Linked DNA regions of Oryctolagus cuniculus. The protein of the gene in region 1 interacts with the protein of each later gene in a biochemical or structural test. Links are inferred from orthologs where the notes say so. Each region holds a gene or a part of one and is shown on either strand. Other genes may lie near its edges. The genes, in order: GRK2, ADRB2 and guanine nucleotide-binding protein G(q) subunit alpha.

The links.
Region 2: the proteins of GRK2 (region 1) and ADRB2 form a complex in vitro, tested with the Homo sapiens proteins (2 studies listed by BioGRID, with this or other methods). The link is inferred for Oryctolagus cuniculus from reciprocal best matches to the Homo sapiens genes GRK2 and ADRB2.
Region 3: the proteins of GRK2 (region 1) and guanine nucleotide-binding protein G(q) subunit alpha form a complex in vitro, tested with the Homo sapiens proteins (3 studies listed by BioGRID). The link is inferred for Oryctolagus cuniculus from reciprocal best matches to the Homo sapiens genes GRK2 and GNAQ.

The regions. Positions count from the first base shown.
Region 1 is NC_091432.1:4,747,348-4,754,871, reverse strand, and holds the start of GRK2 (beta-adrenergic receptor kinase 1), read left to right. Parts: upstream 1-3,160; 5' UTR 3,161-3,399; coding exon 3,400-3,512; intron 3,513-7,524. UniProt on the Homo sapiens protein: Specifically phosphorylates the agonist-occupied form of the beta-adrenergic and closely related receptors, probably inducing a desensitization of them. Key regulator of LPAR1 signaling.
Region 2 is NC_091437.1:36,221,870-36,229,653, forward strand, and holds the start of ADRB2 (beta-2 adrenergic receptor), read left to right. Parts: upstream 1-3,409; 5' UTR 3,410-3,647; coding exon 3,648-4,842; intron 4,843-5,493; coding exon 5,494-5,501; 3' UTR 5,502-5,537; exon of another isoform or gene 5,538-7,784. UniProt on the Homo sapiens protein: Beta-adrenergic receptors mediate the catecholamine-induced activation of adenylate cyclase through the action of G proteins. The beta-2-adrenergic receptor binds epinephrine with an approximately 30-fold greater affinity than it does norepinephrine.
Region 3 is NC_091432.1:152,215,849-152,223,342, forward strand, and holds the start of guanine nucleotide-binding protein G(q) subunit alpha, read left to right. Parts: upstream 1-2,389; 5' UTR 2,390-2,580; coding exon 2,581-2,716; intron 2,717-7,494. Other genes in the region: uncharacterized protein, read right to left, coding at 876-981, 1,247-1,467.

The DNA.
Region 1 (7,524 bases):
CTGCCTGGGCACCCGGCAGCAGAGACAGGGGTGTTGGTCCCCGCCCTAGGCAGGAACTCCTCCGCCCCTATCCGCCAGGCACCTGCTGAAACCAGGGGAGCCCCGAAGCCCCGCCTCCCGCGCCTCCAAAGTCCAGGGCCGAGATGGAGAGGCGAGGGCAGCACTCGCCCGCCCAGGCACACACACTCACATTCAGGCGCACCTGCCCCTGCGAGCTGCCCCCTCTGCCTTTGCAGCCCTGACGTTGGGCCAGGCCTCCTGCTGGGGGGTGAGGGATGCAGCGGTGACCATGCAAGCTGAGCCCTTGCAGCCCAAGGGAGGGCAAGCACGTGACCCAGAGGGAGGAATGGACTTGCCTTGTTCTAGTGAACACCAGAGGGGCTGGAGACTCAGGGCCACAGGCAGGCGGTGGGCTTTGTCCTAAGTGCAGGGGGCTTTCCGCTGGGCTTGTGGAAGCTCTGGGAGGGGCTGGTGCCGGCCCCCAGGCGGGAGGCCAGGGCTTAATGGGAGGACTCAGGGTAGACTCACCAGGTGCCGCCAGACCACGGACAGCAGGTGTGTGTGCGCACGCGCGGAGGTGGGGGGCGAGGGGCCCAGGAGGACTCCTGGGGCGACTGTCAGGGCGAGCTTGGAGGGAAGCGGCTCGGCCCGGGGCTGGCTGGTGGGAGCAGGAGCTCCGTGTGGGACGCACTGGAGTTTGCAACACTCATTAGTCACCGGCACACATGCCAAGGAGCAGTGTGGGCCTGCCAGCTGGGCGGGACGCGTTCCCCTCCCCTGGGCGCTCCCGGCATCCTGGCTGTAGCCCGGCGGATCTGGGCACCAGACAGGTTTGCTGAGGGAAGCTGGCCCGAAAAGGTCACGTTTTTAATCAGCCTTCCCACGGCCACCAGAGGGCAGCACCGTCCCCAAAACCAGCCCTCCTGCCCCCCCCCCCAGCCCCCCAGCCAGGGCCTCCATCAACAGCCTGGGGCTTCCAGAAACCACCTTCTCGGATCCCAGGAACCAAGGAGGGGTGTCCTGGAGAGAAGGCCCCTGGAGGGACCCCAGCTCCAGACCTGGCCGGGGGCTGCAGATGGGTGGGGGCAGGACGGCGGGTGTTCCAGAACCCACATGCAGATCCTGGACTGACGTGTTCGTCAGGCAGGATTTTTTAAGCAGAGGCTGTCCCAGATAAATCCAGGCCAGCCTGTGGCTGCACTCAGTGCGAAGAGGCGGGCAGGGCGGTGGGCAGAGGCCCCAGATGCCATGCGCCGCGAGAGCCCGGCCGCTCAGTCTCCCATTCATACAGTCTCCCGGCACTTGTCGACGGACGCCCTCTGCGTCAGGTCCCCTGGTGGGCACTGTGGCAAGAGCTGAGCCAGGAGCCTTGGTGACCGTGGGAGACAGTGGGTGTCCCCCCCACGCCTCTGCATTTCCAGGACACCGATGGGTCCGAAAGCCTCACTGGACCCTGAGAAGTGTGGCGCGGGGCTGGCGCTGGCACAGCGGTTAAGCCACTGCTTGCAACACCAGCGTCCCTTAGCGGGGCGCCCGTTTGAGTCCTGGCTGCTCCACTTCCGATCCGGCTCCCTGCTAGTGCACCTGAGAAAGCAGCGGAAGATGGACCAAGTGCCTGGGCCCCTGCACCCACGTGGGGGACCCTAATCGAGTTCCAGACTCCTGGTTTGCGCTTGGCCCAGCCTCCATTATTGTGGCCATCTGGGGAATTGAACCAGCAGAGGGAGATTCTCTGTCTCTCCATCTCCCTCTGTAGCTCTGCCTTTCAAATACATAAATAAAAACATAACAAGACGATGCTTCCCGACCAAGGGAATAGGCTCTCCTGGGTGGGCGGTGTAGAGGAAGAGATGGACATAGCCGGGGTCAGGAGTCCAGGAAGGCTGCCTGGAGGAAGTGGCATTAGAGGGCAAGCAGGAGTTGGTGAGGGAGGAAGGCACCCAGAGGGTTCCAGGCTCAAGGCTGAGCAGGGGCGCGGGGGGTGAGAAGGGATGGGTGGGGGGTGGGGGACACCCGACACCGAGGGTGGGGGCTGAACAAGCTGAGAGGGGCAGGGACCCCCCTTGCAGGTCAGGGCGTCTGGTCCTGTGGTGCTTTGGGCAGAGGCGGCCCAGTCCTGAGTGGGCCCAGCAGATCCTGAGAAATGGACAGGTTCCAGAAGGTTCTCGGGGGGGCCAGACAGGAGGGTGTGAGGAGAGGTTAGGGGAGGGGAGAGGGAGGGATCAAGGAAAAGAAACCGGAGGGTCTGACGGGTATCTGGGTGGGCGGCAGAGTCCCCGCGGAGCAGGGGCCTCGCCGTTTGTGCTGACCCGGGAAGGTGGCCCCGAAGTGCGTGGGGGCCCTGCTTCGCGGAGGGCTCCTGGTTCTGGTTCAGGACCCGGCATGAGGACCTGGGCTGAGTGTGCCCTCTGCTGGGGTGGGAACCGGGGCGGGGGCTCCAGAGAGGGGATCTGTCAGGCCTGGGGCTGTGCCTTGAGACGCTGGCTTTCCCGTTGTGGGTGGCTCCCAGTTGTGGGGGCTGCCAGGCACACTGAGACCCTGTGCCCCCACCCCCCCCAGGATGGGAGAGTTGGCCCCGTGTTGTGCAATCATCCCAAAGCGGCCCCTGGGGCAGGGGTGGGTGCTGGAGGAGCCTGGGGTGTGACGGCAGAGGTCACCTTCCTGGTGGCTCGATGACCGACTGGGCTCTGAGTCCAACCCGGGTCCAAGTCCAGGCCTGGAGCTGCTAACCGGGGAGGTCCCAAGGCCAAGATCTCAAACCTCCTTAGGGAGTCCTGCTGGGCACCTGGGGCCAGCGCTTGGGGCCCCAGGGCTGTGGCCGAGTCTGGGGTCCTTTTTGGAATCAGGTGCCGGGTTACAGCAGGGTCTGGGATCCCGTTCTGAAGTCGGCTCGGGGGTCTCGGGCGGAGTCCCGGCCCTGGCCCGGGGTCTCGGCCGAGCTCTGGTTCTGGAGGGTGGGATCCCGGGCCGCGACTGGAGGCTGCCGGCCCAGGCCCAGGGTCCGGGACGCACGGCCGACGTCCGGCCGGGGCGTGGGCGCGGGGTGGCCCGCGCGGCCTGCAGGGGGCGCCGCCGGCCGCCCGGCTCGGCCCCTCGCGGGCTCGCTGGCGCTGTGCGCGGCAGGCGGGGCCGGAGGCGGCGGCGGCGGCGGCTCCGGGGCGCGGGCGGCGGCGGCGGCGGCGGCGCCCCGACTGCAGTCCCGGCGGGAGCGCAGCGCGAGCCGGGGCCATGGGGCGGCGCCGCCTGTGAGCGCGGCCAGCGGAGCCGCGGGCGCCCAGCGGGGCCGGGCGGGCGGCGGCGGCGGCGGCGGCGGCGCCCGAGGCCGAGCGAGCCGCGGCCGGGCCGGGCCGAGCCGAGCGAGCGGCGGCGGCGGGAGGAGGCAGCGCCGCCGCCGCCAAGATGGCGGACCTGGAGGCGGTGCTGGCCGACGTGAGCTACCTGATGGCCATGGAGAAGAGCAAGGCCACGCCGGCGGCGCGCGCCAGCAAGAAGATCCTGCTGCCCGAGCCCAGGTGAGGCGGCCGCGCGGCCCGCTGCCCGGGCGCCGGCCCGCGTGACCCCGGCGCCCCCCGCCCCGCGCGCCGGAGCGCCCCACTCCGGGACTCCCACCCCCAGCGCCATCCTCCTCTTCCTCGGCCGCCCCTGCCCCCAGCGCCCCCTCGGGATTCCGGCACTGCCAGCCCGCTCCCCCGCCGTGCGAGGTTCCGGGGTCGTGCGGTCTTGGGGCTCTCGCCCCGCGCTCCGGTGGGTGGGCTCGCTGTCCTGGGGCGGCCGGGCGTGGCGCGTGCAGCGACCGCCCCCACCCCCAGGCTGCTCTCGGGTGGGGGCGACGTGTGTGCCCCGACCCCCGCGGCGTGTCTCCTGTGGGGGCCCTGCCTGGGGACCCTGGGGGTGCTGATGACCCAGGGACAGCCCAGCACACCTGCAGCAGCTGGACCACGGCTGCCACCTCTCCGTGATGTCATTGCCCCTGGTGGCAGAGTTTAAAGGGCCAGGATGTGGATGGAGAAGTGCCCAGGGTGGGAATGGTGGCCGGGGCTCGTCCAGCGCTTTAGGGCTGGCAGTGTTTTCCCACCGAGCGAGCCGCCCAGGCCCGGTGGAACAGGTGGAGAAGCCGGAGCCCCGTGAGTGGGTGGCCCGCCCCGTGTCACCCAGGTCACCCAGGGTGGCACCCGGCCAGCAGCCCAGGGATTCCGGCTGCTCTCTCTGCATTTTGCCCCCTGCGCTGGCCCGAGCTGGGACCTGGGGGCCGGCGTTCAGTACAGCCACCAGGGTCCCCATCCCGGCGACGACTCCTGTGTGCCCGGCGGCTGGGGACAAGGCCTTGTCATGTGACACTGGGCAAGTCCCTTCCCGTTTCTGGCTTTGTGAAATGTGGAAGGTGCAAAGCGAGTGTCGCGGCTGCGCCGTGGCCGCGGTCCCTGGCACGGGGCGCAGGTGTGGCAGCCGAGCCCCAGCTGCCCGGGGTGCCCTGCGGTGTTGGCCGGCCACCCCTCCTCGCACCCTGCTCCGTGGGTTTCAGATTGACTGCACAGCAGGCCTGGGAGAGGAAAATTGGTCTTGGTTTTAAAAAGGCCGTTAGCACCCTCCCTCCCCCGCGCCGCCTAAGACATTTGCAATCAGATTTCTCAAAACAGGAACCAGACCAACCGTCGTCGGCCGGGGCTGACCAGGGAGCAGCGACAGGGACAGACATGACAAAGCCCCCGGGGAGGAGACGGGTCGCCCTCCGCGGTGGCCCCAGGTAGCTCTCCTTGGGGGCTGTGGCCTCGAGGCCCACCTGCAGGCATGACGTGAGCACCAGGGCCTTTTCTGGAAGGTTCTGCATTTGGCTAATCTCCCCAGCATGCACCGCTCCTGCGGGGGCCCGCCTGGAGCCGACACTGCAGGTGCTGGGTGCTCCCGGACGCCTGCGGCTGGCGCTGGTCTCGGTCCGAACGCTGACCCGGCACGTCGGCGAAGGGCTGAGCGGCTCAAGGAGCCTGAGGACTGCGGCGTGGCCTCCCGTCCTGGGGGGGGCACGGGGCAGGCTGTGCACGGGTTTCCGCTGGACAGGAGGGTGGAGAGCACCCCGCCTGCCCCGGGCACAGCCGGCCTGGGGTCCGGGCTCCGGCCCTGGGCCACGACAGGGACTGTGTCCCGTGTTTGCCCAGCGCCACCCACTTCCAAAGTGCGGCCTGTCCATCTGATGCTTTGCTCGGCCCGTGGGCGGGAGGCTCCCCATTGAACACCTGAAGCCACTGAGGCCCAGAGAGGGAGGGGCCTTGTCTGGGTCGCCGGGGAGAGCTGGGACCAGAACTGGGCCTCTGCCCGGCCACCCCATCCTGGGCGCCTCTGCTTGCCGCCCTGCCCAGTGCGGAAGGGGCTGGGGAGTAACAGGCAGGCCCAGTCCCCACTGGGGCTCCATCTTTCCCGCTTCCACAAGGCCGCGGTCCGGGAGCTGTCCCCACCCCGGGGTGCGCCATCCTGGTAGCCTCTTCGCGGCAGGTGCTGGGTTGTGGCTTGGCCGGGAGCTGGGCCGGGGGCCGGTGGCACCTGGGCACTGTGCCGTGCTGACTTGGCACGGGCCACCCCTTCTGTCACCTGTAGAATCCCAGGAAGTAGACCCGTTTCCCGGCCTCTTCCTCGCGGGAAGCCGGCAGTCCTGGCCCAGCCGTGGCTGCCTCGGTTTCCCTCTCAGTAACTCGAGGGGGCAGCTCGGTGTCTGGCGACCTCTCAGCTCGTGGGTCTGGGGGCCGGGTCTCGCCCCTTCAGAGCTGCCGCCTTTCCCGGCAGCGGCAGGCGGCAGAGGTGTAATTACGGTCGTTTGCTAATGTGCCCACTGAGGCCTTGTGCAGTTAATCTCCAGGCTCCCGGCCGGCCGGGGCGCGCTGCCTGGCCTCCCGGCGGAGCTGGGTGCCTCTCGCAGCCGCGCTGGTCCCTCCCCCACCGCGGTGCCTCCTTCCTGCCCCTTCTGGCTTCCCGGTCGGTGGCTCGGTCTCCCCAGACCCAGCTCTTCCTCCGCTGCCGCTTCGTTCCTGTTAACTCTTTGCAGCCAGAACTTCCTGCCTCGGTCTGTGGGGGAAGGCGGCGGGCAAGGCGTCCTCTCTCACCCAGAACTTTCCACTGCGACAGCCGCAGCCTCCCCCCCCAACAAGATCATCTTTCCAGCAGGCACCCCCTCTGGGCCTTCGGAGCCCCCCACCTCTGTTCTCTGCAGAGCAGGGGGCGCCCGTAGTTGCCGTTGGAAGGGAGCCTTGCCGGCTGGAATGCGTGCACTGTCGGCGGGAGTGATGTGTCCTATTAATGCAGTCGTAGTAAATTCCCAGTGACGTCAGGTGCAGGCACGCGCCTCGGCCCGCGTCGCCTCCTGCGCCCAGGTCTGCCGTGCGGAGGGGCTGGGCGCTCAGGGGCGGCTGCCTCGCGGCGAACAGGCACGTGACAGCCTTCGGGGAGCAGGCAGAGCGGGCAGCCCCCTCCGCCACACCTGCCCTGACGCCCCGGCAGCCCCAGACGGGTCCCCGGCAGGTCCATGTGCGCCGCTGTTTCGATCATGTTCGAAACAGGAGGCGTTTGCGTGCGGCTTTCTCCTGTAGCCACAGCAGCCTCGCCTGCGCCAGGGTGCACTGCGCCCACTCGGGGAGCCGGCCTGGGCTTGGGGCCGGGGTCCCCCACCCCCGCGCAGGGCAGGGCAGGGAGTTCCGGAAGTTTGTCCTCGGCATGTGCCCGCGGGATGGCCGTGTGTTCCGTCAGCTGCAGGGGCTGGGGCTCGCGTCACATCCGCGAAGGAGCCGTGATACGTGACAACGTAGCGTCCCCTCCTGTGCACCGTGTGGCCGCCTCGCTCTGCCCCGGTTGGTCCGTGGCCCCAGCCTCGCACTCTGAGGACACGGGCAGCCCCAGGGAGTCATTGAAAAATATTAATAAGATGCCCCAGGGGACTTCCTCCTCCAGCTGCCACCTCGGTGCCAGGTTTCCTGGAAATGGCCCAGGGGAGCACCTGGGCGGCAGCCACAGGCCCTGCTCGCTGCCAGGCCTGGAGCCCGCTGGCCTTGGCTTCCACACCACGCGGGGCAGGCGTGCGCAGGCTGCCTGGGAGCAGCCTGGGGGACTGAGGGCCCCTCAGCCCTCTGCCCTCCCTGCCCGCTGCCCTGTCTCCTCACCCCTCCGCTGCTCGCTGTGCAGGGAGAGAGGAAGTGGCTCCCCCCGCGCCAGGCAGACCCAGCCGAGGGGGCGGGGACGGGGCCAAGCAGTTTCTGCCGGGGCTGGGCAGGCCTTCCCGACACCGAGCACGTCTGTGCCAAGGTGCCCTCCCTACTCTGCCAGGGCAGGTGCTGGGCTGTCCCCACGGGGCCCCGGGGAGGGTGACGCTGGCACGAAAGGAGCCCCAGCCACTCTGCACCACCCGCAGCCCCGGGCCTGGCTCACCCGGAGGCTGCCTGGCCACAGGCCCCGTCCGTCCCCGGCAGCCCCAGCCCCTAAGGACACGGCAAGTGTGAGCAGAGCCCTGGACAAGACCAGGCGCACGCCGTCGGGCTCTGTTGC
Region 2 (7,784 bases), on another chromosome or scaffold:
GTAAAAAAAAATTTTTTTGGCCTGCTCTGCAGCAGGAAGTGACAAATCTGTGTTTTAAGGGATTGACAAAATATGTAAGTAGACACTAACAATCACCATAAAAGAGCCTGCTTTTTCTCACATCGGATAAAAGTGCACTTAGTCTACTAAGAACTCCCAGTTCTGATGGAGCATTAACAGGCCACAGGCACAACAAGCAACAGCAGAGCTGGGCAGTGGGAATAGGTCCAGCGCAGACCTGGACTCCTCATCACCCTACCACCCTGAACCAGATGCTTCTCAATTCTTCACTTCAGCTTCCTCTTTTGCAAATGGAGGGAAATAAACTAAGCGATCCATTCTATTCTCTCCTATTCTAGCTTTCTCTAATTCTGAAATTCTTTTTTTTAATAGACATTTATTTATTTATTTTAATTTTTTGACAGGCAGAGTGGACAGTGAGAGAGAGAGAGACAGAGAGAAAGGTCTTCCTTTGCCGTTGGTTCACCCTCCAATGGCCGCCGCGGCCGGCACACCGCGCTGATCCGATGGCAGGAGCCAGGTATTTATCCTGGTCTCCCATAGGGTGCAGGGCCCAAGTGCTTGGGCCATCCTCCACTGTACTCCCTGGCCACAGCAGAGAGCTGGCCTGGAAGAGGGGCAACCGGGACAGAATCCGGCGCCCCGACCGGGACTAGAACCCGGTGCGCCGTCGCCACAAGGTGGAGGATTAGCCTAGTGAGCCGTGGTGCCGGCCTAATTCTGAAATTCTAAAACAAGATCAGGACACAAGTCTCTTGGAAAGAAAACAACATCCTGAAGTTCCTACCTGCTTGATGATGAAACAGAGAAGAGATGGGGAATGAGCGAGAGGGAGAGAGATTGATTTCCTGTTGGTCAAGGTTGGTAGGCTTAAGTCCAGAATTTTCGCGCGTGCTTTTATAAAGATGTTTCCCAAAATATTCGAATTTGTAGGTGACTTGAACTTATGTAAACAAAGGATCAATTAATGTTTATCCTAAAGAGGTTTTCTTTGTTCTCTATTGGCCATGGGAAGCTTAAACAATTTGCTTACTTATTCCATAACTTCACAAACAGGAAGGACCATTCATGGTGGCCATGTATTTAAAGAAGCACTGTTGCATAACAGACACTGCCTCTTCCTAAAATGCATCACACCAGAGCCGATTTTGGAAAATACAAACATAGGGCGTCTATACTTTGCAAACCAGGTGAACATAATGGAACCTTAATTAATATTCGTGGATTATAAGGGAAATATTTGCTCTTAAAGGCATCTGTCTTGCAAAAAGACAATTTCTCCTGCTGAAGGAGGTTAAAAGGACACGTGGGTTATATTTTGTTGCAGAGTTTTTCTTCTGGAGTAAAGACAAAACTTGGTTTTGTCCTAAAGCAGTGTCTTGTTCTGGCAGACGATACTAGCAACACATTCTAAATGACTAAGTAATTTGTATAAACTTTGCTGACTGCCCATATGAGTATGACATTTATATGTGCAATATATTGGATCACTAATTCTCATTCCAGGGGAAGTGACTATATTCCTCCCTTAAAGATGGAAGAAATCAGGTTTCTTCTTTATGATTTGCCTAAGGAAAGTACACTAGAAAGTTCCACATTAGATGACTGTGGAGCCTGGGTGCTCGGCTCCAGTTATGGTGCCTCTTCCGTCGCCTCCACTCTGCTCTGACTGTAATACGAGGGCACATTGACAAGATTAAAAGAAAGGCCTTAAAGTCCGGTAGACTTGGGTTCAAATCCAACTTCTGGCACTGCTTCATCATAGCCCCCAGGCAACCTATTTTCCTCTTAGAGCCCCATTTGTGAATTAAGCTAAAAATAGTCACACACACACACACACACACACACACCACACACCCTGTCCCATGGGACTGTGGAAGGATTACATGGAATAATGCATGAAAAGCACATAGCAGAACGTCCTATAAATGTTGGCCATTGTTACAGTATTATGTAACCTACAAAATATGTTTGGTTAGGCTGCACAAAGCACTTTCAGTTGTTCAAAGACCTCACTGGTACATATGAAACCAAACCCTGAAAATCAAATTTCTTTTTAACATTAAAGTCATATGCCAGATGCAAAGGGTAATATTTCATGAACAAAGACATTTAGTTTCAAGGCTTGGTTTGACTTTTTTTTTGGAAAAATCATCTTTCCACAGTTTCAAAACATTCTTAAAGTTAGTACAGTCATAATGTTACAAACTGTATGAAATGTCCATTCTTGTAAATCAGAGGCAACCAACCAAGGCAACTTCATATGGTTCAATCCAACAGATACAAATTATCTAGCCTCTGAAAAGATTGCTTTTTCTGCAGTTGCCATGGGGTTATCAAAGACATTACGTTTGAAAGGAAATCTGTTTCATTTTCAGTGCATCTCCATTCCAACAGATGACAGAAGGGGGGCTGCTACACTCTCAACAATCAGCAACAAAACCACGCAACTTTCTTCGCCATCACAAGCTAGGTCCATACACAGCCAAGCTGCAGTGAAACGCAGAGTAAAACCTTCCCAACTCTCCGCCTTCCCGAGGAGAGCATTCAAAGTAACTGACAGGGACCGTGCTGAGGGAATCGGCAGCTGTTTAAGTCATCTCCTGTGATCTTGCCAAATGTTTGAAAGGGTGACGGGGTGGGGAGAGGTGGAGCACGGGGGTGTGTGGCAATTGAGGGCTTGAGCCAGAAGAGCTGTGGGTACCCGCACAGGGTCGCGTGCCTCTGTGGCTCTGTGCGCTCCCAAGTCCCAGCGCGCACGCACCTCTATGTGCGTAGAGTGTGTTTACTTCTTTCCGTGTGCCTGTCCGTGCCTTTGTGCCCTTGGCTGCTTCTATGTCTGACTCTGACCGCGTGTGAGCCGTGACTGCCGGCAACAGTGCTTGTGGGTTGCGTGTGAGCGCGCGCGAGGCTTGTTGGTGCGCTGGGTGGGTGTGTGAGCGCGCGCGAGAGGCATGTTGGTGCGCTGGGTGGGTGTGTCGTGTCTCCCTGAGTTCCAGATAAGTCTGAGCATGTCCGTAGGGGTGCATCGTGCTTGTATGTACAAGTTCTGATGGCACTCTGGTCCCTGTTTCCAAATGTCGCGAGCGCCATTATGCGCACAAGCGCCCAGGGCAGACAGGTAGCAGCCGGAGGGAGAGGAGCTCAGTTCGCTGGTTCGCTGCTGAGCCCGCAGCCCCCGCTTTAGCACTCAGGAGCCAGCCCGGGAGTGGTGGCCCGCCTGCCACCCGGGCCAGCCCCAGGAGAGGGCGGGCAAGGGGAGGGAAGCGAAGGGGAGAGGTGCCTCGCCCCTTCGGGGCTGCGGGCACGCCATTGGCCGAAAGTTGCCTCACGTCACTGGGAGGCAGTGGCCCCGAAGTCCTGAGCACATAACGGGCAGAACGCACTCTGAGGCGGCTTCTCTGAAGTGCAGGCTGGAGCTGGCGGGCACGGAGGGCTCAGAGCAACCCACAAGCCGAGTGCGCCGGACGTGACCCACGCGACCCTCCGCATCCAACTACGGCCGCTGAATGAAGCTTCCAGGAGTCCGCTCGCGGTCCGCAGCGCCCCTCCGGAGGTGCGCACGCTGAGGCGGGGCCACTGTGCCGCCAGCCGCCCCCGGGCGCTCACCTGCCCGCCTGCGAGCCATGGGGCAACCCGGGAACGGCAGCGATTTCTTGCTAGCGCCCAATGGAAGTCACGCGCCGGACCACGACATCTCGCAGGAAACAGACGAGGCGTGGGTGGTGGGTCTGGCCATCGTCATGTCTCTGATTGTTCTGGCCATCGTGTTTGGCAACGTTCTGGTTATCACAGCCATTGCCAAGTTTGAACGTCTACAGACGGTCACAAATTACTTCATCACCTCACTGGCGTGTGCTGACCTGGTTATGGGTTTAGCGGTGGTACCCTTTGGGGCGAGCCACATTCTCATGAAAATGTGGACTTTTGGTAACTTCTGGTGCGAGTTTTGGACTTCCATTGATGTGCTGTGCGTCACTGCCAGCATTGAGACCCTGTGCGTGATCGCAGTGGATCGCTATTTCGCCATCACCTCACCCTTCAAGTACCAAAGCCTGCTGACCAAGAATAAGGCGCGCGTGGTCATTCTGATGGTGTGGATCGTGTCGGGCCTTACCTCCTTTCTGCCCATCCAGATGCACTGGTACAGGGCCACCCATCAGGAAGCCATCAACTGCTACGCCAAGGAGACCTGCTGTGACTTCTTCACGAACCAAGCCTATGCCATTGCCTCCTCCATCGTGTCGTTCTACTTGCCCCTGGTGGTCATGGTCTTCGTCTACTCCAGGGTCTTCCAGGTGGCCAAAAAGCAGCTCCAGAAGATTGACAAATCAGAGGGCCGGTTCCATGCCCAAAACCTCAGCCAGGTGGAGCAGGATGGGCGAAGCGGGCATGGACATGGACTTCGCAGGTCCTCCAAGTTCTGCTTGAAGGAACACAAAGCCCTCAAGACGTTAGGCATCATCATGGGCACATTCACCCTCTGCTGGCTGCCCTTCTTCATCGTCAACATCGTGCACGTGATCCAGGACAACCTCATCCCGAAGGAAGTTTACATCCTCCTCAACTGGGTGGGCTATGTCAACTCTGCTTTCAACCCGCTCATCTACTGCCGGAGCCCAGACTTCAGGATTGCCTTCCAGGAGCTTCTGTGCTTGCGCAGGTCTTCTTTGAAGGCCTACGGGAATGGCTACTCCAGCAACAGCACTGGCAAAACTGAGTACACAGGGGAGCAGAGTAGCTATCACCTGGAGCAAGAGAAAGAAAGCGAGCTGCTGTGTGAGGACCCCCCGGGCATGGAAGACTTTGTGAACTGTCAAGGTACCGTGCCTAACGATAGCATTGATCCCCCCGGCAGGAACTGTAGGACAAATGACTCACTGCTGTAATGCAGTTTTTCTACTTTTTAAGGACCCCTCCCCCAACAGAACACTAAACAGACTATTTAACTTGAGTGTAACACATTTAGAATAAAACTGTATAGAGAGACGCAGAAGGAAGGCAGCCTTCTGCCTTTTTTTTTAATCTTTTTTAACCTGTAAAAAAAAAAAAAAGAGAGAAGATGTATTTGAGTGATTATTTGTTTCTTGTACAGTTCAGTTCCTCTTTTGCATGGAACACCTAAGTTTATGTCCGAAGGGCTTGAGTCCTAGAGGACCTGGGTCTGCTACGTTTTGATGACTTCTCCGTGTATCTACCTCAGTGGTCAAGTATTAGGGGTAATATATTGCTGCTGGTAATTTGTACCTGAAGGAGATTTTTCCTTCCTGCACCCTTGGACTTGAGGATCTTGAGTATCCCGGACCTCTCAGCTGTGAACGTGGACTCTTCCCAGCTCCTCCTGTTTGCTCGGACCGGGTGTTGTAGGCAGGGATTCGAGGGGGCAGCTTCACTTGTTTTCCTGAGCAAAGTCTAAAGTTTACAGTAAATAAATTGTTTGACCATGACTTCATTGCACCTGTTTCTCCAAAGCCCCTTGACTGGAGTGTCCTTGCCTCTCCCACTGGAAACCGCAGGTAACTATTTGTCATAACTGCCTGGCGGCTTAATGTGGAATGATACAAGAATGACACGCACTGATTGCTTAACCCTTTCGTTCGCCTCTGACTCTGCTGTGGCAAACCTGTATCTCTCCTAACCCTTGTGACCCACATCGGTTCTGCCTGTTCTCAGCATAGCTCAGTCTGCCCTCGGGTGTTATTCTGTTCTGTGACCTCAGAAACACTGACTCACAGAAACAGAGCTCTGGGCATACAGTTTGTCCCTTTACCTGCCACCTCACCGCCCCCCCCCCGCCCCCACCTCCCAGTTCTACTCATTTAAGAACTCTTTTTTTTAATATCTCAGCTGTATCTTCTAGTAGAGCTCTTTGTATTGCATCAGGGCTTTGCATTTTAAGGATAAGGAAGATGTTCTTGCGAGAAAGCAACCCAAACGTGATTCCAAGGGAAAATAAAATGACACTGGTCCTAGGGAGAGAAGCTGGAAAGCACGTGACTGATGACTACTTAACGGCCTAGAAACAGGGTTTTAACCCTTCTTCTTTACTTTTGCCTCTTCTTCCCTCTCCCACTGGCTCTCCTCGGCACCCTCAGCATTATCAGCCTTGAGAGTGCCCGTTGTGGGATTATGCCATGCATCACTGAATGTGGAGCAATATCCCTAGCTTCTGCCCATGCGATGCCAATAGCACCTCCGAGTCATGACAAAAAAAAAAAAAAAATCTCCAGCACTTTCGAATACCTGTTGAAGGACAATATCAGACCTGGGAGAGAGCCGTGGAGGCAAACTTTAAAATCTAAATGCGTATTTGGATTCCGCTTTGTGCAAACGCTTTATCTTGCAGAGCCACAGAGAGGGGCCTTTTAGAGACAGACCCCAGGCCAGTACACTCTCCCTGTGTGCTGCTATCCCTGTGAACCTGCTCTCCAGCTGCCCAGAAAGTGACCAGGAGACTTGAAGAAGGCTTTCAGTCTGTATATGGGTTGTTTGGGAGGGTTTATCAATGGAGGCGAGGCCTGTGGGCCGTTACTTTCTGTTTCTAGAGAGATTATACTACTGTTAAGAGGTGCAGGGGGTGGAATCACAAAAGTAAACACATTTCTTCTCGCAGCCCCTTTCTATTTTTGCCTGTGTGTTCTGAGCCAGAGCTTGGCCCAGGTTTGATGGAGTGGATCGCCCTCCTTGGCAACGCCAGGCTGTGGAGGATCTGCATACAGGGGTCATTGCCATTTCACTGGCTCATGTGGCTGACTCAACTTCTCTCTTCCCTTCTGTCCCAGCCAAGGTCCCCAACCAGAAAAGCACTGGCCTTCACTGCTTCCTGTCAGCTCGCTGAGGGGGTATCTGGGCAAGCACTGAGCTCCCGGGAGAGTGCCAGGAGTGTCTCTGGAATCGGAGAGCATGTGCCTTTAGCATTTTTACTTTCTCCTAGCGTTCTCATACCTGTTCTCATGCTGTCCTGCCCTGGGCTTCTCCTGCTATCTGCATGCTTCTGTAACCTCACAGGGGCAATAGAAAAGAGACCTGAAAAGACCACAAGCCAGGGAATGACCTGCCCAAGGTAAGCAGCCAGGATGGCAGAGCAGCTAGCCAGACTGCCCTGCCACGAGCTGTGGTCCCCTGGCAGCCGCACTGTCACTGGGTTCTGTCCTTACCCTCAGCTGCGGAAGCTTGTCCTGGGCTGTAATATAACAACTTCATTTCAGCAGATGTTTTTATTTCCTTTGAGTCGTTAACACAAAATTCGGGGAATAAATAAGTAATCTGCAAGAGGGACGAGGGAAAGAACTGTTCATTTCACTCCAAGAATCCACTAGGACATTCTCCGCATTCAAGGAAGCCAGGAGATTCCTTAACTCTTTGTGATCTGTCAGGAATTCCAGACTTTATCCCAGGTAGAAGTTTCCCAGGTCTTATTTCAAACACAGAGTTGCAAACCAGTCTGACATCATGTGTAAGTCCTATGTCACTATATATAAGTATAAAGTATTCATAAGTATTACCAGTAAACTGTGTCAATAATACGTCTGTTCTTTGGATAAAGGAGCATCAACATCATTTGATTTAAAAGTACAGCGTTCTTTTAGTCCGTTAGGCGCACGATAAATACAAGAACTTTGATGAACTTCAGGGACCTTGGCGTTCTGGGCATATCTCAATCCCTGGCTTTCCTCTCCTTTTGTGTGGCTTTGTTTCCCTGCGTCTCTCTGTCCCTCTGTTTGCCGACGTGCTGGTTACATAAGGTTTGTGTTGGATTCATC
Region 3 (7,494 bases), about 150 Mb from region 1:
TTTAATTTCTTTCATCAAGCAATAGGTCAAATGTACTGATAGTCTTCTGATAGTTTTCTGGCACACTTTGAAAGACATTTTCAAGTCTCAGAGGACACTAGGCTAGGAAACCCAATTTGAAGCTCAAGAGAGCTATTTGGTTTCCAGTGTTTTGTATTTCTCCTACTCACATATATCCATGTATTACAGGATACAACCATATCAGGTTTTCCCGTGAAGCCATTTTACATCACTGCATATTGAATGCCATTCTTTTCATTTCTTTTGTCACTGATATTTAAATTTTCATTCCATAGCAAGTGTAGTGGTTCTTTGTAGTCATTCGTATAAATTTGCTCATTCTACTCTCCTGGCCAAGGTGAAACTCAATCATTTTCCTTGGCCAAAAATCCTTTTAAAAAATATAGATTTTATGTTTTGATGGCTTGCTTAATCTAAGTGCTGGCTTGGAGTGTGTGTGAAGGGCTGGAGGAAATGATAAATGAAGGAAGGAAGTCGCACACCTGGTGTCCATGAACCCAGGGTGCATTCCTGGCCTGCAGCAGTAGCACAGCCGTGGCACCAGGAGCATCTCCCAGCAAACGTGGAACAGCGATTCTCTTCAGAAAACACCATTTACCCTGAAGACCTCGGTTTCCATCAAGGCTGGAGGCGGAAGAGCTTGGCTTTTTGCAGCTTTCAGGCCAAATCAAGCCTGAAGGAGCAAACTTCTTGTTGTTACTTATCGGGAAGATCACCACGAAACACATACGCAACACTTTTACATAAACTTAACCGGAAGTGGAAAAGGAAAAATAAGAAAAAAAAAAACCTAGAAACAAATCTTGATTTTCCCATTTAAAATTTTTTATTCTTTTCTTTCATCCCGCACGGATTTACATGCTCCCAGAAGCCACCCATAAGTTCCATCTCGGTGGAGCAGGGTACATTCGGTGACTTGGCTGTGAAAACATCGCGTGCCTTTTCAAAAACGAGGAGCATCTGTAAAACGGAAACAAGAACAACAGAAAACCAAAACCAAAATCACCTCAACAGCATGAAAAGTTGGAGCCTGCCAGGAAGCTCCCGGCAACTTGGGCAGCTTCATTTTTCTGCTCAGATTTCTATCTCAAGTGAATTGCAGGGTCCTCGCCCCCTACCCCTCGGGGAGGCAGTGACCACTCCTCTCCGGCCACAGCCCACCCGGAGAGAATCGTATTTTCTAAGATTCAACTGGGGTCAGTAGTGACGAGAGGCAGCTTCTAACCGAATGGCGTTTGAGGAATAACCTCGGGAAAAGACAGAGGCCACCGCACAGCGGCCTCGCGGAGCCGGGCAGGGGGTCTCCGGCGCTGCCAGCGGGGAGCCGGGCAGGGGGTCTCCGGCGCCAGCCGGTGCATGGGCTCGGGGCCGACTCCCGCGGCTTCCAGGCGGGGCCGAGGCGGCGCTCCGGGGCTGGTGGGCTGAGAGGCAGGCGGAGGCCGCCATATTCCCGCTCCACCACGCCCGGGCGGCCGCAGGTTGCCGGGGTTCCGGCCCGCGGTCGCAGCCGCCCGCTCAACCCGAGCGGCTGTCAGCGGGCCCTGCCCCTAGCCGAGGGCGGCTGCGTCCGCCGGAGCCCGCCGGCCTCCACGGAGGGCGCGGGAGAGGGCGGCGCCCGCGGAGCCTGAGGGGGCCGGCCCAGTCAGGGAGCTGCGCGAGCGAGGCGAGAGCCGCACTGGGCGGCGCGGCGCGCGGCTGCGAGCCCAGGGAGAGCCTTCCAAGAGGGGCCGGGCGGCTCCGCCTCCCGCGCCCGTCCCTCCGCCTCCGCCTCCTGCCCCTCCTCCTCCTCCGCCTCCTCCCGCCGCCGCCGCTGCCGCCGCCGCCGCCGCCTCCCTCCCGGATCTGTGCTCCAGTTCAGAGAAAGAAGAAAATGTGTGTGTGTGGCGAGGGGGAGGGCGATCACTGAGCAGCCGCTCCGCGCCTGGCAATCGGGGCCGGGGGTGGGCGTTTGGCGGAGGCGGAGGCGGAGGCGGAGGCGGAGGAGCGCGCGGCGGGCCGGGCCGGCGAGCGGGGTTTGCGCGCTTAGCCGGGCGGTGGGCGCGGGCAGGGCCGCGGGCGCCCGGGAGCCGTGTCAGGCGGCGGCGAGGAGCGGGCGCGCCGGGTGCGGGGAGCGGTCGGCGGCCGCTCGCTAGGGGGGCGCCCCGGTGGATGTGCTCTCGCCGCCGGGCGCAAACCGTAGGGGAGCCTCGGCGGCGGCGCGGGGGGCGAGGCGGGCTGCCCGTTCCCGGGGAAGGAGGCGCGGGCGTCTGAGCGAGGCCGGGCGCGGCGGCCTTCCCTTGCGCGCCCCCCGAGCCAGCGCCCGCGGCCGCCTCCCGCGCCCGCCTCGCTCCGCCGGGCGGCGAAGGCCTCCTGCGCCCGCCTAGACCCCGGCCCACCTGGTGGCCCCGGCCCTGGCCGTCGCCCCCGCGGCGGTTCCGCGATCTCATCCCGGACGCGCGCCCAGGCGGCGGGGGCTCAGCGGCCACCGCTGCCTCGGGGGAGCGAGGGCGGGAGGGTGTGTGTGTGCGCGCGTGTGAGCAGGGGGTGCCGGCGGGGCTGCAGCGGAGGCACTTTGGAAGAATGACTCTGGAGTCCATCATGGCGTGCTGCCTGAGCGAGGAGGCCAAGGAAGCCCGGCGGATCAACGACGAGATCGAGCGGCAGCTCCGCAGGGACAAGCGGGACGCCCGCCGGGAGCTCAAACTGCTGCTACTGGGTGAGTACGGCCCGGGCCGGCCGTGCGGGCCCTCCCCCGGGCCTCTGCGCGCCCCCAGCCCCCGCCTCCGGCCCCTCCGGGCAGCCGCCCCCAGCCCCCGGGCTCGCCCCTACCCTCCCCGGGCGCGCCCCCGGCCTCCACCCGCACCCGCGCGGGTACGCGCGCGCGCGCACACACACGCCCGTGCGCGCGGAGGGTTCGGGGCTGCCTTGTTGGGTGCCTCGGCGCGTGCTGTCTTGTGTGTCCCTTGTTGTGGGGGGGGCTTGCGTTCTCTGCGGTGTCTCTGCTCAATGGCAGATCAGATCTGGCTAGGGGCGCGGGGCTGGGAAGGTGGGCTGAGGGCTTGAACTTGCAGCGCCGGGGCCGCCGCGCCCCCAGGGGTGGTGGAGCTGTGTGTGTGTGTGTGTGTGTGTGTGTGTATGTCGCCCGGAGGGTGGCGAGCCGAGCCGGGGCACAGGGCGCGGGCGGGCGGGGGGGAGATGGCGCGCCGTGAGGTGGCCGTTGTGCATCCATTATCGGTGCGTTCTGGGGTCCAGGAGAAGTGGGGGAGCCACCGGTGGGCAGACTGGCGAGTGGGATCCCCAGGGGTGAAAACTAGAAGCCCAGCAGGGGTCGACCCTCCCCAGCCAGGGGTTCGTGGGGTGGGGGCGGGGAGGGCGGGCAAGCCCCCGTGTGTCACCCGAGTGTTCTTCTGCAGCCACCAGGCCACCCACAGGAGGGGCCCAGCAGAGTTTCTTGGCCAGTGGATGGTGGCAGGCGTGCTTCTCGGCTGCACCATTCCTTCCGGATTAGGACCGGGGCGAGGGGAGCGTGGCTGGCGTGGTTGTTGACAGCGACGGGTATCTTTTGTCTAATGAGGCATCCCAGATCTAGGCCTGAATTCACAACAGTACCGCAGCCTTTCCGTCCCTCTCCGGGGGAAAGAGAGAAACCTTTTGTTTGAAACGGACAGCATTGTAGTGTCTTGGGCATCAGGGCTGCAAAGGAAAATTTCCCTCTGGTCTCTGAATCAACAGCCCCGCGTTCTGCTTTCACGCGAAGTTAGCAAGAGAATGCCGTCTCTCGAATAGGCGTCTATGGATGATTACCTCCGAGAGAATGCTCGGAATCAGGCCACCAGGGTTCACAGACAAGCCAGCGTGAGGGCACCCGGAGCTATTGTGGTCGGCAGAGGCCTGGAGGACGTCTGCACTTGTGTTCTGCGTGTTTGTGTGTGCATAATAAATGCGCGTCTCCGACAGGAGAGAGTGTGGTCTGGGCAGTTCGGGTGGCAGAAGCCTGTATTCCCTCTCTTATCTTGAGCATTCCATCTGCTGGAGAACCAACTGTCTTTGGGGACTCAACTGCTCGTGCACTGGATCCTTTGCAAACAGGAACAAAATAACAGGGCCACCCGTACTTACGAATGGCTACTCTGCTCGCCGGGCTGTGTGTCTTCCTTCTGAAGCCCTGTTAGACAAATGTACACAGGTTCATAAAGGAACAGAAGGCAGCGGGCTGGGGGGAAGAGGTGGGCTTGAGGCCGTGAAGCCGGGGGAGGGAAACACTGCGCTTGGAAAGTGAGGTTCTTTAAAAAAATATATTTTTTTTAAATTTTATTCTCATTTTGGAGGTTGAACATTTTCTGAATTCTCGGGATTGAGAAGAAAGTGGAGAGAACAAGGGAAGGTGTTTAAATACAGAATTCAGGGGAGAAAACATGTGGTGAAGAGAGACTTGTTTGAAGAGCTGGGTTTTCTTTTCCTTTTGCCCTGTTTACTGCCTTTATTTGTTTCTGTTTAGCTGTGAACAGGGCGTCTAAGGTCTCTGCAGTCAGCTCTGTTGGCCTGAACTATGACAGCTCTGGGTTTCCCAGCAGCTGTGCCTTAGCACAGGGGCTTTGTCAGAGGGCCTGGGTTTGAATGCCCAAGAGGGAAGAACACTTCCATAGAGGCTTAATTACATGCCCTGTGCTGTGCTTTTATGGAATGAACCGGGAGATCATTTTCTGAGGAAAGAAAAATGTAAGGTACAGTTTCACAGCTTACGTGGTGGTGGTGTGGAGACTTCGCTCTTATTAGACATTTCAGTAGGGTTTCATATGGCCCACCTCATCCCCATACTATGGCCCATTAGAAGTGGTAGAAAAATAGGATATTAATTGAGCATCTACATTCATGAGTGCCATTTGAAAATGCATCTCTCTGACAGAAGCTTGATCCTCACACATCGTTAGGAATTCCTACTTCATGTTCTAGGCGTGTGGCTTTTGTGACTTAACCAGTGCAGTGCCCACACTACTCACGTGGTAAAGATAGGTGCTGAATGTAGATGTGTGCCTGTGTGTGAATGGTGGGTGAGTCCAGGAGGGAGCCGAGGGCTGAGCTGAGCAGGGAAGGGTAACGGGGCGGCTTCCGGCAGAGGGATTTCTGCTGTGCTGCTCTGATGAGTACCCTGAATTTTCCCGATCCTTCCTTCATTTACACAGAGCCTACCCCGAGGGAGGGGGTTACAGAATGTGTTCTCTCAGAGTGTCTAAAGATCTGGTATTTTAAACTACCTACTTAAATGGAGGAATCAACCTTATAGTAAATGAAATGCAAGATAAAATTATTTTCAAAGTAAATTTTAATTTAAGACATGGCAGCATTTAAAGGAATTGTGTGGTAGGGATAAATGTGTGTACCCTTGCATTTGTTCACACAACTATTTAATATATATTAATAATATGGAGGAATTAGAGAAGGAAAGTAGTGTTTGGCTGACGACACAGAAGTGTGGCAGTAGAATTTGTGCTGTTTTGATTCATATCCAGCCATTATGGTAATGTCTTCCAAATTTATTCTGCAGTACTTGCATATTTTAATTTTTAATCTTTTTAAAAATGAACCCTGAAATCTACCACCTTAAGAATATCTTCTTAATTTCTGAGTTCATATTTTCTTAAAATTATTCTCTTAATTTATTTACTTTAGTGATTGTTTTCTTTGACACCTAAGGAAACTTTGTATTCTACATAGACATACAAAAGCATGCTCTGTTTTAACTTTACTGCTGTTTTTATGTATTTTCTAGGTGAAAAGTACATTATATTTGCTTTGATTAATATTCATGAATTCACTAAATATTTCTTTCAGTAGTACATGGGCCACACCATTTAATATTAATTTGTCTTCAGGTCTGTAAAACAAGTTGTCCCAAATGCTTGCCTTGGGTTATAGATGTTCATTGTGAAATTGTTTTCAATTCCTAGAAGATACACTTTTTCCCCTCTTAACCTGCTCTTATTTTATGCATGTTTGACATCTTTTCTGTTTAGATCATAATCATCAAATAGGAAGATTTTGCGAATTTGGGAGGGAGAGGGAGGGAGAGGTAGAGAAGAGAGAGCAGGAAGGGGAGGCAGAGAAGGAAGTGAGAGAAGGAAGGCAAAGTTTAGGTCAATGTTAAATGAATGCGGTCTTGGTTTTCTGAACTGAATTACATGCATGGCTGTAGATTTTATTCCTATTCTGCACTGCAAGATTGTAGGCATGGAGATTGTGTCTATTTGGTTCACTATTAAATCTCAGCTTGTTGTACATGTTCTAACTCATAGAATGCCCTCAGAAAGTATTTGCTGAATGAAAGATTTTATTTGTGACCCTCCTGCTAGAAGTTGGGATCTGATAATAATGAATAAATTATAAGAGCCAGAGGGATAGGTAATGTTTTTATCTACAGCACATAAAATCATGATCTTTTGAAAATTGTATGTGGCTGTTGGAGCCAGTTGGTTACAAATGCATCACATAGTTGATCCTGTATATTACAGTTCTGTGCTGGGTACACTGCGAATGGAACAGTCTTGCCCAAAGTGAAAATTTAAAGGAAAAAAACCTGTTGTCATCTTGATTACCTTTTTATCATGTAGTGGGTGGTTTAACCCTGTTGTCTTTTTGCCAGACATTTTTCTCTATGATGCACTTAGCAGAGTGAATTTTTAATATTCTGTTGAGAACAGATGATGACCAAACAGATTTTTGTGATTTACTTAACAATGTTACATGAGGAAAACCACAATGGGTAAATACAGAATTCTAGGGATTGCAGATGGAACATTTTTTGATACAAGGGGCATACATCTTGTACTGAACGCTGAACAGTTGGAGAGCAAGAAGAGACTCGGAAGCCTGGGAATGTTCTGGCCAATTTAGACTATATGGAGGGTTCATTCATGCACACCTTTGGATCAAAGCACCCTTCCCTCTGTCCTTAGTAGACTGGGGATGGGGGAGGGCTGGGCAGGTTGATGGCTGCAGTTAACCTAGAGGCTGCTGGCTGTCTAGAGGTGCTCCTTAGAACTCTAGAATGAAAGCATTTCTCCACCAACCCTAATAATATCATCTCCCTGGAAAGACCAGAATATGGTGTTGATGAAGCTGCTTTAAGGATCAGCCAGTTTTATTTTTTGCTACTGTTAGCTTCTGAGTGTTGAGTATGTTTCTAAATGTCAGGATTTATTTGGATGCATTCCCTCTTTTTTATTTTTTTTATTCCTTTGATCAAAGTCCTTAAAGTTTATACCTGAAGAGTGAAGTGGAGACATCCGTCATGAAAATCTGCCTGTAGCCCTGACTGTGTAGCAGTGCCTTCAGAGTGAGATCTTGTATTGAGCTATGTGGATGGCATGTGACAGTCAGTCCTGTGCTTAGGTTATTTCTTCCTGTGGGCACTTTGGCCCGGATTCAAACCCTACCCAACAGTGAATTTATTTCGTGAGTATCTGTTCAGATATTTTTAGGTGAGTTTGGAAAGGA